Linked DNA regions of Elephas maximus indicus. The protein of the gene in region 1 binds, or shares a complex with, the protein of each later gene. Links are inferred from orthologs where the notes say so. Each region holds a gene or a part of one and is shown on either strand. Other genes may lie near its edges. The genes, in order: GAS8 and IQCD.

Region 1 (7,446 bases):
TCCATGCCACAGAGTGGCTGTCTAGTGAGCAAGCAGCAGTTGCCCCACAGTGGGGCTCTAGCCCCAGGTCACCCCCAGATTGCTGCCTGGATCCTGGGGGCTTCTGGGGCTTCCAAGAGTACAAGGTGCAGCTCTGCCAGGGGAGCTGCCCTGCCCTGTCTAAAGTCTAGAGAGTAAACAGGACAGGAAGCCATTTGCCACTGGGTAATGAGACATTTTCAGTCCATTCTTCACCCAGCACCCAGATGGCCTTCCCAGAACACAGGCCTGACCCACCACCCCCTGCTTAAATGTCACCTAAAATAAAGCCATTCTTCATCATAACTCCAAGGCCTCCACAGCCCTGCCCCCTTAACAACAAGGCCTCTCTCAGTCTCCTGTGTATTCATGTTTTGTCTTAAAACTATAAAAAGAAAGCAGCTTACTAACATTACCATCAAGCCAATACAGCCTCTCTCGGTTCCTGCGTCAGATGCCCCTGGCCCTGCTAGACCGAGGCAGATACCAGGTGGCATCTCCTTGGCTTTCAAGGTTTTGCCACTTGTGTGGTTATCAGGAACCTGTAATAATGCAATTATCAAGTTCCCAACACCAACAGAATGGACAAGTGATGTAAAATAATTCCTACAAAAAAACTGTAGTTTAGAAGACAGATCCTCTCCCCCCCAAAATGTACGCACAAGCAACAGCAAAGGCAGCCAGTCGGCTCCTTGTCTTTGGAGCTTGTCAAAACAATGATGACCTAATTAATCAGATGGAGGTGATGTGATTTTCAGTAAATCTGTTCTTTTAAAGACATCCTATTTGCTATAGTGTTTAACAGTGAACAAGACAATTTTTTCTTTTTTATTTGCTATAGTGTTTAACAGTGAACAAGACAAAGGAGGATGTTGTGTGTATCTATGCTGTAGTAACAGCTCTGTAAAAGCCAGGTGCATCAAAGAATAGGCCTGAAGGAGACAGAGAATTAAAAATAGAAATAGCTGTTAGATCAGAAATACTACTCCTTCCAAAACCCACCACCCTATAAAAATGTTCTCTTCTGTGGCTCTGTTGTATTTGAGAAATTTGGAGCTGACTGGAAGGATGGAAACAAGGAGCATGATCTGGTATGGAGAGAAGTACAAGGGGGTGAGGGTGGATGCGGGGAGGGCAGGATGGAAAGAAGATGGCCAGGAGGACAGAATGAACAGAGGGGAGGGTGGAGGCAGCTGCAGGCGGGGACAGCGGTCAAGTAGGGGTTGGCTGGCCTGGGCTGAGGTGGCTGGGCTGGCCCTCTCACCTGCTCCTTGTTCATGTCTTCCGGAGCGAGCCCGTCGACAATCGGAGTGCCTTTGGCTTTGCCTTTCTTTCCTTTCTTTTTAGGCGCCTGTTAGTTAAAGAAAGGAGCTGTGGTGACACAGTGGTTAAACGCTCAGCTGCTACCTGAAAGGTCGGTGGTTGGAATCCACCAGCTGCTCCAAGGGAGAAAGATGTGGAAATTTGCTTCCGTAAAAATTATAGCCGTGGAAACCCTATGGGGCAGTTTTACTCTGTCCTATAGAGTCGCTATGAGTGGGAAGAGACTCAGAGACAGTAGGTGTGGTTTTGGTTTTGTGGTTAAACAAGGGACGAAGGAGTAAATAAACCATCTAAGGGCTCCCACTTGTTGGCCAGCTCCAAGACCCTCCCGGGGGCCTTTCTGGGAGAAAGAAGCACCTCAATGGAATCTCTGTCCCAACAGGAGGGCCCTGAAGTTCCATCCTTAATGCCACACACCCCACTGGGTCCTTCGGAGAAGCACTAGGGGAGGACTTCCTTTTCACGGGATATTTTTTCCAGCTGAAAGGAGGGGCAACCCCTCCTGAACTCACCCACTCCTTGGCATAAGACAAAGACCTCTTTGCCTTTGGACAAAATTTATCTTTGGTTGCAAAATTTACTTGGAGTCAAAATGGAAGACCCCCAAAAGCACAGTCAAACACTACCACATTTGTTACAAGCTTGGTGACCACCATGGAAAAACCTCCAAAAAACCAATTCATGGGTGTAGGAAGCAGGGCTTCTGCAGCAAGGATCACAGAATGACATCAATTTGAGGCTTCCTTTCTTCCAAATACAAAACTCCTTCAAAGAACCCAGGTCAAGAGAGCTTCTGAACTGCTGTGTAAACAGGTCACCAGACCCAACTGCTCATGGTGAGAGAGAACCTCTGACCCTACTCATTCTCCATATCTGACTTTACAAATCTTTATCCTTAGCCCTTTGCTACTCCCAACTCCCTGAAGCCCATGCTTCCATGTGTGGGTATCTATGTAACTTTCTTAGAATTGCAAAAAAATGTCAAGCGGAAATTTTAGAAACACAGAGAAGCAAAAAAAAAAAAAAAAAATCGCCCGTAGTTCCACAAGCTAATGTTAATAAACCAAAAAACCCAGGGCCGTCGAGTCGATTCCGACTCACAGCGACCCTATAGGATAGAGTAGAACTGCCCCGTAGAGTTTCCAAGGAGCGCCTGGCGGATTCGAACTGCCGACCAATGATAATAAGCGGAAGTATTTTGCTGATGGTCTCTTCACAATCTACTCTCCAACGATCCAACCATGGAAGCCCCAGGCTCCACCTTCCCACCACCACCCCTTTTACTGCTCTTTCTAACCCTCTCTCTGAAAGATCTATTCCAAGAAGTCGACCCCATTTGAGTCTACCCCTTGGTGAGCCCCTGGCTCTCCCTCCCGGGACCGGCGGTCCTAGGATACTGCTGACCAGCCTGTCCTTCCTGGGGTCCCTGGGTGGCCCCCTGGGGGGGCCCCCGTGAGATGAGACTCTAGGCCCCAAGCCCTTCACTCCAGGCAGGAAATCCCCTCAGGCTCAGGGTCTCTCGTACGGGTACTTTGCACACCGGGCCCTCGGGCTCCAGGGCTGAGCAGCCCTGTGAGCACAGCATCCTGGACAGCTCATGGCTCTAGGTTGGGCGCAAGGTCTAAGACCCCCGAGCTCACACCCCCGGTCCGGGATCCCAGCGAGCGCAGTTCCAGCGCCCCAGAGCTCAGATCCCGGCTTGGGGTCCCAGTGCGCCCAGGCCCCCGGTCCGCACCCCGGCCCCCCTCACCATGGCTCTGCCGGACCGGCCTCGGCGCGGCCCCCACACTAACTCTCAGGGCCGGTGAAGATGCGCCTGTCTCCCAGCAACGCTCGGCGCTCCCGCGCCAAGTCTCAGGGATCCTCGCGAGATTTCGCCTGAGGCGGCGGGCCTGGCAACGACGGGAGAGCGTCCCTAGCAACGCCCGCGGGGAGGGAGTTCCAAGTCGCGGAAGCCGGGGCAGGCCGGGCCACAGCCCCGCGTCACCGATCGCCTGATCTCCCCAACAGCCCTAAACGCGTGTTGTCGCCGAACTGGGACGAGGAATTCCAGGCCCCCGACTCCGGTCTGCAGCGGGTTGGGGATCCTGACCCAGGCCCGGGAGGTCTCTGCTTAGTTGTCCCCTTCCTGGGCTACCAACTAAAATCTGAAAACTAAGGAAACAGCTTGTTACCTAACAGGAAATATAATTTACGTCTTCTGTTTACTGCCTGTCTCCTCTACTGTAACTTAAGCTCTTCGCTACTGTAATTTAAGCTCCATGACGGGAGGGGGCTCTGTTGCCTTCACTCTGTGCTCCAGGCTCTTAATAAAGATGTGTTGGATGAAGGAGTGAGTGAGTGAACGAATGAGCCTACACGGACAAGGTTCTGGATCATTGTCCAAATCAAATTGAAATTTGGGTTTGAGACTCTGCCCCCTGGGACTCACCCCACTCTGGCCACCTTTGAAGGGTCCTCCCGCTTACTACCCAGGTGAAGGTTGAAAATAGTTGGATTTCCACAAATCCTGGGGGGGGGGGCGGTGGGAAATATATATATATAGGAAACCCTGATGGCGTAGTGGTTAAGTGCTACAGCTGTTAATCAAGAGCTTGGCAGTTCAAATCCGCCAGGCGCTCCTTGGAAACTCTACGGGGGCAGTTCTACTCTGTCCTATAGGGTTGCTATGAGTCGGAATCGACTCGACGGTAGTGGGTGGTATATATATACATACATATATATATATATATACATACATACATATATATATATATACATACATACATATATATATATATATATATAAAAGCCACGGTGTTTTCAATCACCTCATATGCATTCGAAAGCTGAGGAAGACTGAAGAAGAATTGATGCCTTTGAATTGTGGTGTTTGCAAAGCATATTGAACATACCATGAACTGTCAAAAGGACAAACAAATCTGTCCTGGAAGAACTACAACCAGAAAGCTCCTTAGAAGCAAGGATGGTGAGACTATGTCTCACATACTTTGGACATGTTATCAGGAGGAACCAGTCCCTGGGGAAGGACACCATGCTTGATAAAGCAGAGCATCAGTGATAAAGAGGAAGACACTCAACAAGATGGACTGACACAGTGGCTGCAACAATGGGCTCAACCGTAACAATTGTGAGGGTGGTGAAAGCCCAGGCAGTGTTTCATTCTGTTGTATATGAGGTCGTTATGAGTCGGAACCGACTCAACAGTACCTAACAACATAGATAAAGGAAAAATGTTCAGCTTAGCTCCAAAGCTTTGAAATCAACAGTCTACTTGACACCTGCCCCTATTGCTAAGTGACAGCATGTCCACCCTTAACAGAAATGCACTGCTGTGCTGGAGACCTCAGCTGTGGCCTCTCTGTTCTCATGGAGAAGAAATCCCTCAGAGGCTTCCAGATAGGCACTGCTGAAAAGAGAGAGCTCAGTAAAACAAACGCTAGTCATTTTATGATTTCCAAAGTGAATTTCCAATTCCCCACCCCCCCCCCGCCCCACCATGCTATTACCTAGACATGAGGATCCAAGTCACCTGAAAGACTGAGGATTTGTCATAAGCAAGCGCCCATCTTTACACATCATTTGTCCTTTTTTCTCTGCTCTCAACTTTAGCAACTTCTTGAATAGTGGTTTTGCGATGGGTCTTGTTTTCCTATAGAGAAGATTCTGGAATCTTCTACCCCTGGAGAGTTGTGTAGAGGGCAGAATGTGGGTAATGACAGAGGACTCAGGTGGGCTCAGGTCTTCCCATCCAGCTCAGAAAGGAATGATGCCTCCGTAGCCGGGTCTGCTCAGTCCTCGGGAACCCTGCAGCAGCCTAGCTTCTGAGGCCACTGTGATAAGCTTGAGGGGCTTCCTGTTTGCCCACCAGACCCTTATTGTTCTTGGAGAGGAGCATCCAGTTGGAAGGACGGAGCCATGATTTATTTATAGCCTATCCCTAAGCCTTTGTGATGTCTGACCAGTCACCAGCCCCATGCTGGACTCCACTGGCAAGATGGGCCTCCTCCTTCAGAGGCAGGGGCCTCCCAGAGGGAGTCTGGCAGGCGAGACAGTGCAGCTGGGTAGCACAGTGGGACAATTATTATTGTTTAACACTTTGTCTAAGATCCAATATGCTAGGTACATCACGTTGATTGGCCTTAGAAGTCTAGCTGTGAGTACTGAATTAAATAAATGCATTAACAATAATTCCTTCCACAGAAGGGCAAGAAGAGGAGGGTTAGCTCAGGATAGCCAAGACAGGGTTTTCATCTGTCAGAAACCGACTGAGCAGTATGTTCTCTCTTCATATAAGTATGGATTGCAGAGATGAATCGTGTGGGTGCCCAGCTGCCATGCTCCTGGCTCCCAACAGGGACCTCAGTTTTTCATATTGGATTCGAGTTCAGATTTTTAGAAAAGAGCTCTTTCTTCATATTGTATGGCTTAAAATATTTTGTTCAGTATCAAGCTGTGTAGCTCAGAAACCCAGATAAATGGCATCTGCATTTCCTGCAAAAACCCCAGAGCAAACATTAATCCACAAACTGACTGGCCATTTCGCCCAAAAAGTTTGACCCACTTGGTCAAACTGCCTGAATGTGTGTTTGAAAATGTTCTCGATGAAAAATTAAAAGTAAATGCTGGCCTCCAGAGTCAGATTGTCTGCCACTTACCATCTGGAGGGGCCTCTGGCAAGACCCCTCTGTATCAGTTTATTCACCTCTCAGGTGGGAGTACTTATTAAGTAATAGTTACAGTTACTAGGACTGCACAAGTTGCCCCAAAATGTAATGACTTAGTACAATGGATTGCTTGTGAATTTGCAATTTGGTCAGGACTCAGTGGGAACGGCTTACCTTGGCTCTGCTCATCACCCATAGAGGCGGTTCAAAGGCAGGGTCTGGAATCAACTTTCTGCCTGTTGCTGCGACTTTAGCTAGGCTGAAGCCAGAACACACACAGGAGGTCTCCACGTGTGCGCTGGGGCTTCCTCACAACATGGTGGCTGGGTTCTGCAGTGAGCGCTCTAAGAGAGAGCCAGTAGAAAATGAATCCTTTTTATTACCCAGCCTTGGAAATTACATGATAATATCACTCTGCCACATTCTGTTGATTGGAGCAGTCACAAGCCCGTCCAAGTTCAAGCAGAAGGAATATAGATGGGGGAGTCTTGAGGGGGTGGAAGGTTCTGGAAGACCAGAAATACTGCTGTAGCCATTTTGGGAAAATACCATCTGCCATCCCAACTGACTGGGAGTGGCCTGTGCTCCCACACTGTCCCTACTTCCCAGAGCAGCCCTTGCCTTGCTTCTTTCCCCATTGCCCATCCTGTAGTTCAGCGCTGTCTTTTTGTGAATCCAGGTTCTCAGCCTCACGAAGCATCAAACTGCAGGTGTTCCTGTGGGTAATGAGGTCATTTTAGAGGGTTGCAAGCAGCAGTTTCATTTTAGTTTTGTTTGTGTGTGTGTGAACTAAAAAATGGAAGCTATTTACTGCCTCATTGATGTTGAGACCCTAAGGCTAGGGATCAAGGACCTTCAGTGTCCCACATTCTTGGCTGAAGACATCCATCACAGCAGGTTTGGCCCCTCCTGGGGTGAATTTCCAGCTATCTGGGACTGTTGAAGTCTGCCTGTGGAGGCAAGACAAATACTCACCTCCCTCCTCTGTGAGCCTTTTCCATTTCCGGCTGGAGACAAGCTCTTCCTCCTCGATGTTCTTCTTGGGTTTAGTTTGTTGTTGTAGAAGTGCAGAGCATGTGTTCTGGGCTCAGAATCCAGCTTGATTTTGGAGCGTCTGGCTGTGCTGCCTCAGCAAGTACAGCTTCTGCTCCTGGAAAACTGGCTTAATGGAAAGTACGCCCTTCCTAGAATCACTGAGGGAACTAACAGAGCCTGCCTGCTAAAAACCTGAACCGTTGCCGTTGAGTCAATTCCGACTCATAGCGACCCTACGGGACAGAGTAGAACTACCCCATAGGGTTTCCAAGGAACGGCCGTTGGATTTGAACTGCCGACCTTTTGGTTAGCAGGGGCTGGAGCGGGATCTCTGCGGCCTTGGAGGGAGTACTACATTTAGCCCCCTCCGCTTGCCCACCCTCTCCCTTCCTGCCTCAGGGAG
Region 2 (7,606 bases), on another chromosome or scaffold:
AGCTGGGTGTTAGGAGACCTGGTACATGTCCCCTGCTGGAGACTCCAGAATAACTATGGGCAAGTCCCTTATCTCTGACAACTAGGGATATAACCTCTGTCCCAGCCACATCAAAGGGGAGCTGTGTGGAGCCGGGTTGGCTTAATAAATAGGGAAGCTGTTGGGAGAGTTAAAAGCCCTCTTCAAAGGTGAGCAACGATGATGATTACATGTGGAAGCATAAATCCGGTGGTGCATCAGCCTTATGGCTCTGAGCTTCCCTCTCCTTGGGCACAAAGGAAGTGTGTGGGGGGAAGTTAGCCATTTAGCAGGCTAGGCCCACCCTTTTCATCCTTCACTGGGACTGTGTATAACCCCCAAGCCAAAACCAAGGCATTTGTGTCTGACCATGTACGCCTGGAATGTGTTCCCAAGGGAATGCCCCACCCAGAGCCAGGGCTGAGCATCTTGCCTGTCCGGGTGCTCTAGGCAGTCTGGCCAGCGTGGAGGGAGGGGGATGGATGCTATGATGCCGCGGCTGCTTTCAATCAAAAGGCTATTTTCAGCTTTCTGGGTGGAGGGTAAAGTCTGGGAAAGGGAATGGGTAGGTTAGATTCTTCCCTTCAACTAACATTTTTTTCCTTTTAACTCAGACAAGACATAATGGAACAGTGACCTCAGCACTCACCCCCTCTCACTCTTAAGTTTCCAACCACTTCCACTACTGGGTCTTTTGTTCCATCCTGGCCTGGTTATACTGGTTAGGATTTTCATTTCCTCTAGATCACCTTACAGGTGGACCAGGAAATGAGGCAGCTTCCCCCGACTTGATGGGGTTAGAAAATTGGGCATAACAGCTTTCCTCACTCAGGAGGAGGAATTGAAGGCTCCCAGAAGTGTTTTAAGCAGGGAGCGAGGGACACGGCCAGATTGGCAGCCTGGGATGAAGGGTGACGAAAGGGTTGGCAGGTGCAAGATGGCAAGGGGATCAGGTTTAGAAGGCTGGTGAAGAGGTCCGGAAGAGAGATGAGGTGACCTCAACCAGGGACAAGGCAGTGATGATGGGGAGAAGTGGATGGCTTTGAGAAATATTGAAGAGGAAGAATCAATAGGATGAGATGAAGGACTGGCTGTGAGGACTGTGTTGCTGTTGTTGTGTCCCATCAAGTCATCTACAACTCACAGTGACCCTATAGGACGGAGTAGAACTGGCCCCACTGGGTTTCCAAGGCTGTCATCTTTATGGAAGCTGCCACATCTTTCTCCCGTGGAGTGGCTTTGAACCCCTGACCTTTTGGTTAGCTGCCAAGTGCTTTAAGCACTGCGCCACCAAGGCTCCTTGGGGAAGGAGGGAGAGCAAAGAGTAAAGGATGATACCCAGTTCTCTGGCCAGGTTGCTGGCTGGATGGTTGTTTACCAAAAGGGCAAAGACAGGAAGAGAAGCAGAGCTTGAGGGGTGGAGTGGTGTGTGGGGACAGAAGGTGGTGAGTTCAGATTTGTATGTAATCAAGTTAGAGGTGCCTGTGGGACCAGGAGGAGTCCCCGGGTGGCACAAACTGTTAGGCGATTATTTATGAGACCAAAGGTTGGCAGTTCAAACCTGGACACACCTCAGAAGTCCGACCTGGCGATCAGCTTGCTTAAAAACCCTATGGAGACATTCTGCTCTGGCCATGTGGGGTTGCCATGAGTCGGAATCAACTCGACAGCAACTAACATAGCAACAACCAGTTTTGGGCTATTTTGAATAATGCTGCAACCAGGTCTGTTGGCCCTCCCTATTTACTTGCCATCAACATATCCTACTTTAACTGACAACACTCCAAATCAAGTGAGCAATAACAGTGAAGCTATTGGTTTTCATGGCCTGCCCCACCCTCTTTGAACTATCATGCTGACAGAACTAGGGTGAGGGGGAATAGGAACAGCCTTGGGTAAGTATACCAGAAACTCCAAGTTCAGTAGTTTTCATGAATAAGCTCTCTCAACTTGTTGTATGCCTTTGGTTGATGTCCACAGGGATGAAATACCCCTAGACAGTTTTGTTTAGCTTTATAGTTGTTAAAGTTTTTGAGAAGGGGCGTGTTGGCCTATTCTTCCATCATAGAAAGTGAATGTCCACAGGTGTCATTTCATATTAATATGTATATTATTTGATGAATGTCTGTCTCCCATGATAGACTGCAAGCTCCATAACCAGAGGAGAGAAGCTGCTTTCTTGTCTGTTCTACCCCAGCACCTAGAACTGTGCTTGGCCCTTTAGTAGGCATTCAGTAATTACTCATCGAACTTGTGAATATTTAAGGTATGATGTGAGAGAACTTCCTTGGGGCAGTTTTAAGCAGGAAGAGTTGTGGCTACCCGTGCTTTTAGAAAATTAGTAATAATAATACTTGCCACAATTTACTGAGCACTTACTATGTTGCTTCGTTTTGCTGAGCTCCTCATTGCTATACCTCATTTAATCCTCACAACAAACACTTTGTCTGAGGTATGTGCAATGGAATTGCATTTTAAGGATGGGAATGGGAGTTAGGTTCTAAAGTGGGCACATAAGGCAAAAATTGGTGTAATCAAAATTCCCCCCCCCCCCCAAAAAACTCCAAACTCGTTGCCATCGAGTCGATTTGGACTCATAGAGACCCTACAGGACAGAGTAGAACTGCCCCATAGGGTTTCCAAAGAGCAACCGGTGGCTTTGAACTGCCGACTCTTAGCAGCCGAGCTCTTAACCACTGCCCCACCAGGGATCCTTATCAAAATTATGTAATTGAAATGCTCAGTCACGTGAGAAACCTTTCATTGCATGCACCCTGGAACGTACAGTCGTTGAGTGGAACGGTAGGGGATTTATAACCACTTTCTCACTTCCGGCACCTATGTTTGGCTGGAAATAAATTAACTATGATGTGACTACACTTGACTGAGGGGAAACAGGCTGGAGAGTAGGGTCCTGGGGCTGGGACAGGATGGGGTGCGGGCTACTATTCCTAAGGGATCCAAAGGAGGGCAGCCTAGACCCCATTCTACATCTCCCCCTCACCTCCACTCCTTAACCCACCTGGTCACTCACCTGTTCTGAGGCCTCCAGGTCTCCTGACCCACAGTTTACCTCCGAGGTCCCCGCGTTGCTAGGTTACCCGCCAATCTCAGGAGGCGGGACTCGGGGTCTGACTGACTTTCCTTTTCACCATTCAACTCCTTTTCCCGCCCAGCTTATCCCGCCTCCTGGGAGTCTGACCACTCAGGAGTAATCTATCCCTGACTCTCCACCAATTGAGAGAGCCGGGGCTCCCTCTGGGTTGGGCCAAACGGGTGAGGCGGGGAGAGTGGGCGGGGAAAGGGGCGGGACTTCTTCGTCCCGCCCCTTCCAAGGCGGGGGCAGAGAGTTTAGCTCAGGCAGTGGGCGAAGACTGAAGAAGGACATGAGATTTGGTCAATCATAGTTCAGCATGGCAACCCAAGAAGCCAATAGACTGCGGCAGCGGAGAAATGGGGCGGGGCCAGCAGTGTTGAGGACACTGTAGGCGGTGGATGGGAGCGCTGGCGCAGCTGCCGTGGTGGCAGCGGCTGGAGTGGCGGCGACTGAAGTGGCGGCGGAGGCGGCTGCAACAGCTCCGAGCTCGGAGCTTGGGCGGCGGCACCGGCGGGCTGTGCTGTTTTGTGCGGACCCCTGCGCGTGGTCCGGGTTGCTGGGGCGGCGCGTGTAAGAATCTGGGGAGCGCGAGGACTTGGCCTGGGGGAGAGGCCAGGGGGCAGAGGTCAGAAGGCGCTGAGTATGAGGTTGCGTCTGGGCATCGGGGTGTGCGGGCGGGCAGGACGGGTCCTGAGGGGGGGGCGCAGGAAAATCACCAACGTGCTTCTCTTCCTCCAGCCCAGGCCGGCGCTTTGCACCCCCTTTTCTCGCCCCTGGCCCCCTGGGTCGGCCCCCACTTGGGGCCCAGAGCTGGGAGCACGTGAAGCCGGCGCTCCTCAGCCTTTCCTCCTCCCCCTCCAGCTCTCTCCCTGGCACCCTCAGGCAGCCCTACACCGGGCTCATGCCTGGGTCAGGCAGCCCCAGCGGGTAACGGGACAGCTGCTGATCCCCTTTCCCTGGGATGACTCCCCCCGGCCCTCGGTGTTCTATAGAGCGAGAAGCAAAGCCCACTGGAAGGAGCACTGGGCTAGGACTCAGGAGTCTGCTCTGTAGCTCTGCCTGGGCACCGTGTGACCTTGGGTAGGTCCCTTCCCCTCTCTGGGCCCAACTTTTCCTTCTCTAAAACCATGGTTTTGAATGTTATGGGGCACTGTTCTGGGAAGAGGTATAGGGTAATAATTAAACGGGGAAAGTCTCTGAATTCAGACTACCTGGGTTGAAATCTGGACTCTACCACTTCTCTATAGGGTCCTTATGAGTCGGAATCCACTGGACAGGAATGGGTTATTTTGGTATGGACCACTTCCCTGTTGTTTACTTACAAAAGGCAACTTCAGTTAAGCTCTCTAAGCCTCAGTTCCTTTATCTATGAAACAGGGATATTAGCTAAGGTAGGGTTTCTCAACAGACACCATTGACACTTTGGGCCTGATTATTCTTTGTTGTGGAGGGCTATCCTGTACACTGTAGGATGCTTAACACTATCCCTGGCCTCTACCCACTACATGCCAGTAACAACCCTGCCTGCCTCCCTCCAGCCAGTTGTGACAATCAAAAATGGCTGCAGACATTGTCAAATCTCCCTTTCGTGGGAAAACCCACTGAGCTAAGACACTGCAAGCAAGCAGTCATGTATTAAACAGTTAAACAAACCGACAAAACCAGTAGCCGTTATGGTAACGATAAAATTAGGAAACCACTTCTTGATGTGTGGAGAAGGTTGATAGAGTCTCTCATCAAAATAAACACAGGAGAGAATGGCAAAATGTTGGTAGTTGTTGAAGCGGGTGATGAATGCAAGGAAGTTCATTTACATATTCTCACTACTTTTATGTGTGTTTGAAAGTATCAATGGTAAAAAGTTAAAACAAGATAAACCGCACAGAATTCCCAAGACAGCATAATGGTGTCGTATGTGAGATTTCCTCTTTTTCTACCTCCTCACTACTGAGATTCAAAAGCAAAATAAATCCCCAGATTGGGAGGAAACTTAAAAAAAAAAATCTCACAGGAAGTTAGCCAGGCAGACTTACAAGCTTGCAGTAAGTAGAATGGTGTTTACTTTTGCTGCCTTGTTTTAAGAAGCTCTGCGGTTCCCTGTTGATGCACTAGGGTCTGCCTAGAGTCATTTTGATGATTTTTGTGAAAGAACTAAGTTGCCTGGTTGCCATTTCAGTGCATCAGCTTGGAGGCAAAGTTGATTGAGCCCAGAAGGTAACAGCTGGAGGGCGGAACCTACTGCTGTTTTGAAGTTCAAAGGTCCACAGTCAGATCTGCTGAGTCTTTGCTTTTCTTTTGGTCCTCCTAAGCGGAAATGGAAAGGAGGTCTGATAGCACAGCAGTTAAGCACTTGGCTGCTAACCAAAAGGTTGGCAGTTCGAACCTACCCAGGCAGCACCGTGGGAGAAAGATACGGCAGACTGCTCCTATAAAGATTACAGCCTAGGAAGCCCTATGGGGCAGTTCGATTCTGTCACATGGGGTGTCAAAATCGACTCAACAGCACCTAATAGCGACAGATAACCTGGCGTGCTAAGGTCAATGAAGCTAGGTACTCCCTAAATATCAAGGCTGCTACTTAGAGGAATCGTGGTGTGGTGGCTGGGAGCACAGCTCTGGAATCAGACTGTGTTGTTCCAAGCTTGGCTTTCTACCTGTGGGTGTTGGGGCAAGTTACCTAACCTCTCTGTGCCCCTCTGTCATAGAGGGATAGTAATCCTACCTATCTCATGGGGAAACCCTGGTGGAGTAGTGGTTAAGTGCTACAGCTGCTAACCAAAGGGTCGGCAGTTCAAATCCGCCAGGCACCCCTTGGAAACTCTGTGGGGCAGTTCTACTCTGTCCTGTAGGGTCGCTATGAGTCAAATCGACTCGATGGCACTGGGTTTGGTTTTTTTGGTTTTCTTATGGGGCTAGAAGAGTGCCCGGTACATAGTAAGTGCTCAAAAAAAGCGTATTAACCAATATTATTTTAATGGTTATATATTTTTTTCCGAATCTTTAAATCTTTATAAGACACACACAAATGTCTAGGGAGGGTGGTGGAACATATTAGCCGTAATCTCACTCTCCAAATTTAATTACTCTTAACTTTTCAGTATATGTTCTTTCCAGGTTTGTGAGATACGATTCACATACCATGAAAATCACCATTTCAAAGTCTACAATTCAGCGGTTTTTAATATAGACACAAGGTTGTGTAACCAAAACCACCATCTATTCCCAGAACATGCCCCTCAGTGACGGTTGTGTATGAATGATTCGCTTCCTTTTTCTGTCCCCCTAAACCCTAGAAGATGCCGCTAATGGAGGAGTTTCTGAGAAGCACCCCGGGGGCAGTGGCTTTGAAAGGGACATCAAACCCGAGACTACTTAAGGCCCTGGCCATCGCATCCTGAGGACTGTAGGAGAGGACACCATGGCTGTGAGCTTAGATGATGACGTGCCTCTGATTCTGACCTTGGATGAGGGCAGCAGCACTCCCCTGGCTCCCTCCAATGGACTGGCCCAAGAGGAACTGCCTAGCAAAAGTAAGTCAGTGGGATGGGCTGGGGGCTGAGAGATGGTGGGCTTTGTGGTCTATGGGGAGATGTATACCTGTTGCCTCACACCCACATCGGACCCCCCAAGTCGTGCCACTGAAATGACTCCCGGGAGACCCTGGCGTTTCCCATTCTACACACCCAGCTTCATGATGCTTTTGGGGGCTCCCTTGCCCTCCTGGGACCCTTGTCTCCCTCAGCCACCTGCATCCCTTGCACCTGAGAGATACCTTGGCTTTGACCGTGGATGTCTAGCTAGGGCCTCAGTCTAACCTGCTTCTTGGCTAGCTTCCCGGCCCCGTTCCCTGTTAAAAAAAGAAACAGATTTCCACACCAGACTCAGCCTGTCCCAGTCTGAAACTGTTGGCAGGAAAGTGGAGCTGACTGCTTCCCTCTGCTCGAGCTCAGCCCCTGCACTGCCCAGGACAGGGTGGGAGGGAGCTGGCATTTGTTGTGGATGTTGTTGACACACTCAAGTGAGCCATTGATTTGAGGGTTTTGGGTTCTGCTTTGTCTTCCTTTAAGCCAAAGCCTAGCACAAAGTGAACCCAAGAGAGGTCATGAGCTTTTAATTTTTTAAATTTTAATTGTGTTTCTGGCAGAATGGGAGGCCTTAAGAACGTTTCTGGTTTTTGTCCCAAAGCCATTTGCTTCGTTTGCTCAGGCTTCGGGCTCAGGAGAGGCTTCAAATAACCTGCCTTTTAGGGAGGGTCCTAAGTCATCAGAGACCAGAGCTTTGGGGTCTCCTTGGCAAGTGGATGTTCCCCCTGTCTGCCATTCGTCCTCGGCCAGGACAGAGGGGTATTGCTCTTCTCCAGTTTGCGAGTGTGGATACTTGGGCCCATGGAAGGACGAGCCTGGCTCCCTGGTCTCCTTTGTCTGGAGAGAGCACAGTGGGTTATAGGGCGCTCAGCAGCCTCCCTTGGAAGTAATGAAGGCGAGCAGTGTT

Evidence for each region.
Region 2: GAS8 (region 1) and IQCD share a complex: the UniProt entries of both Homo sapiens proteins name them as parts of the nexin-dynein regulatory complex. The link is inferred for Elephas maximus indicus from reciprocal best matches to the Homo sapiens genes DRC4 and DRC10.

What each region holds. Positions count from the first base shown.
Region 1 is NC_064839.1:55,106,273-55,113,718, reverse strand, and holds the start of GAS8 (dynein regulatory complex subunit 4), read right to left. Parts: upstream 3,191-7,446; 5' UTR 3,095-3,190; coding exon 3,092-3,094; intron 1,370-3,091; coding exon 1,283-1,369; intron 1-1,282. UniProt on the Homo sapiens protein: Component of the nexin-dynein regulatory complex (N-DRC), a key regulator of ciliary/flagellar motility which maintains the alignment and integrity of the distal axoneme and regulates microtubule sliding in motile axonemes.
Region 2 is NC_064840.1:11,361,553-11,369,158, forward strand, and holds the start of IQCD (dynein regulatory complex protein 10), read right to left. Parts: upstream 3,108-7,606; 5' UTR 3,053-3,107; intron 1-3,052. Other genes in the region: TPCN1 (two pore channel protein 1), read left to right, coding at 6,534-6,645. UniProt on the Homo sapiens protein: Component of the nexin-dynein regulatory complex (N-DRC), a key regulator of ciliary/flagellar motility which maintains the alignment and integrity of the distal axoneme and regulates microtubule sliding in motile axonemes.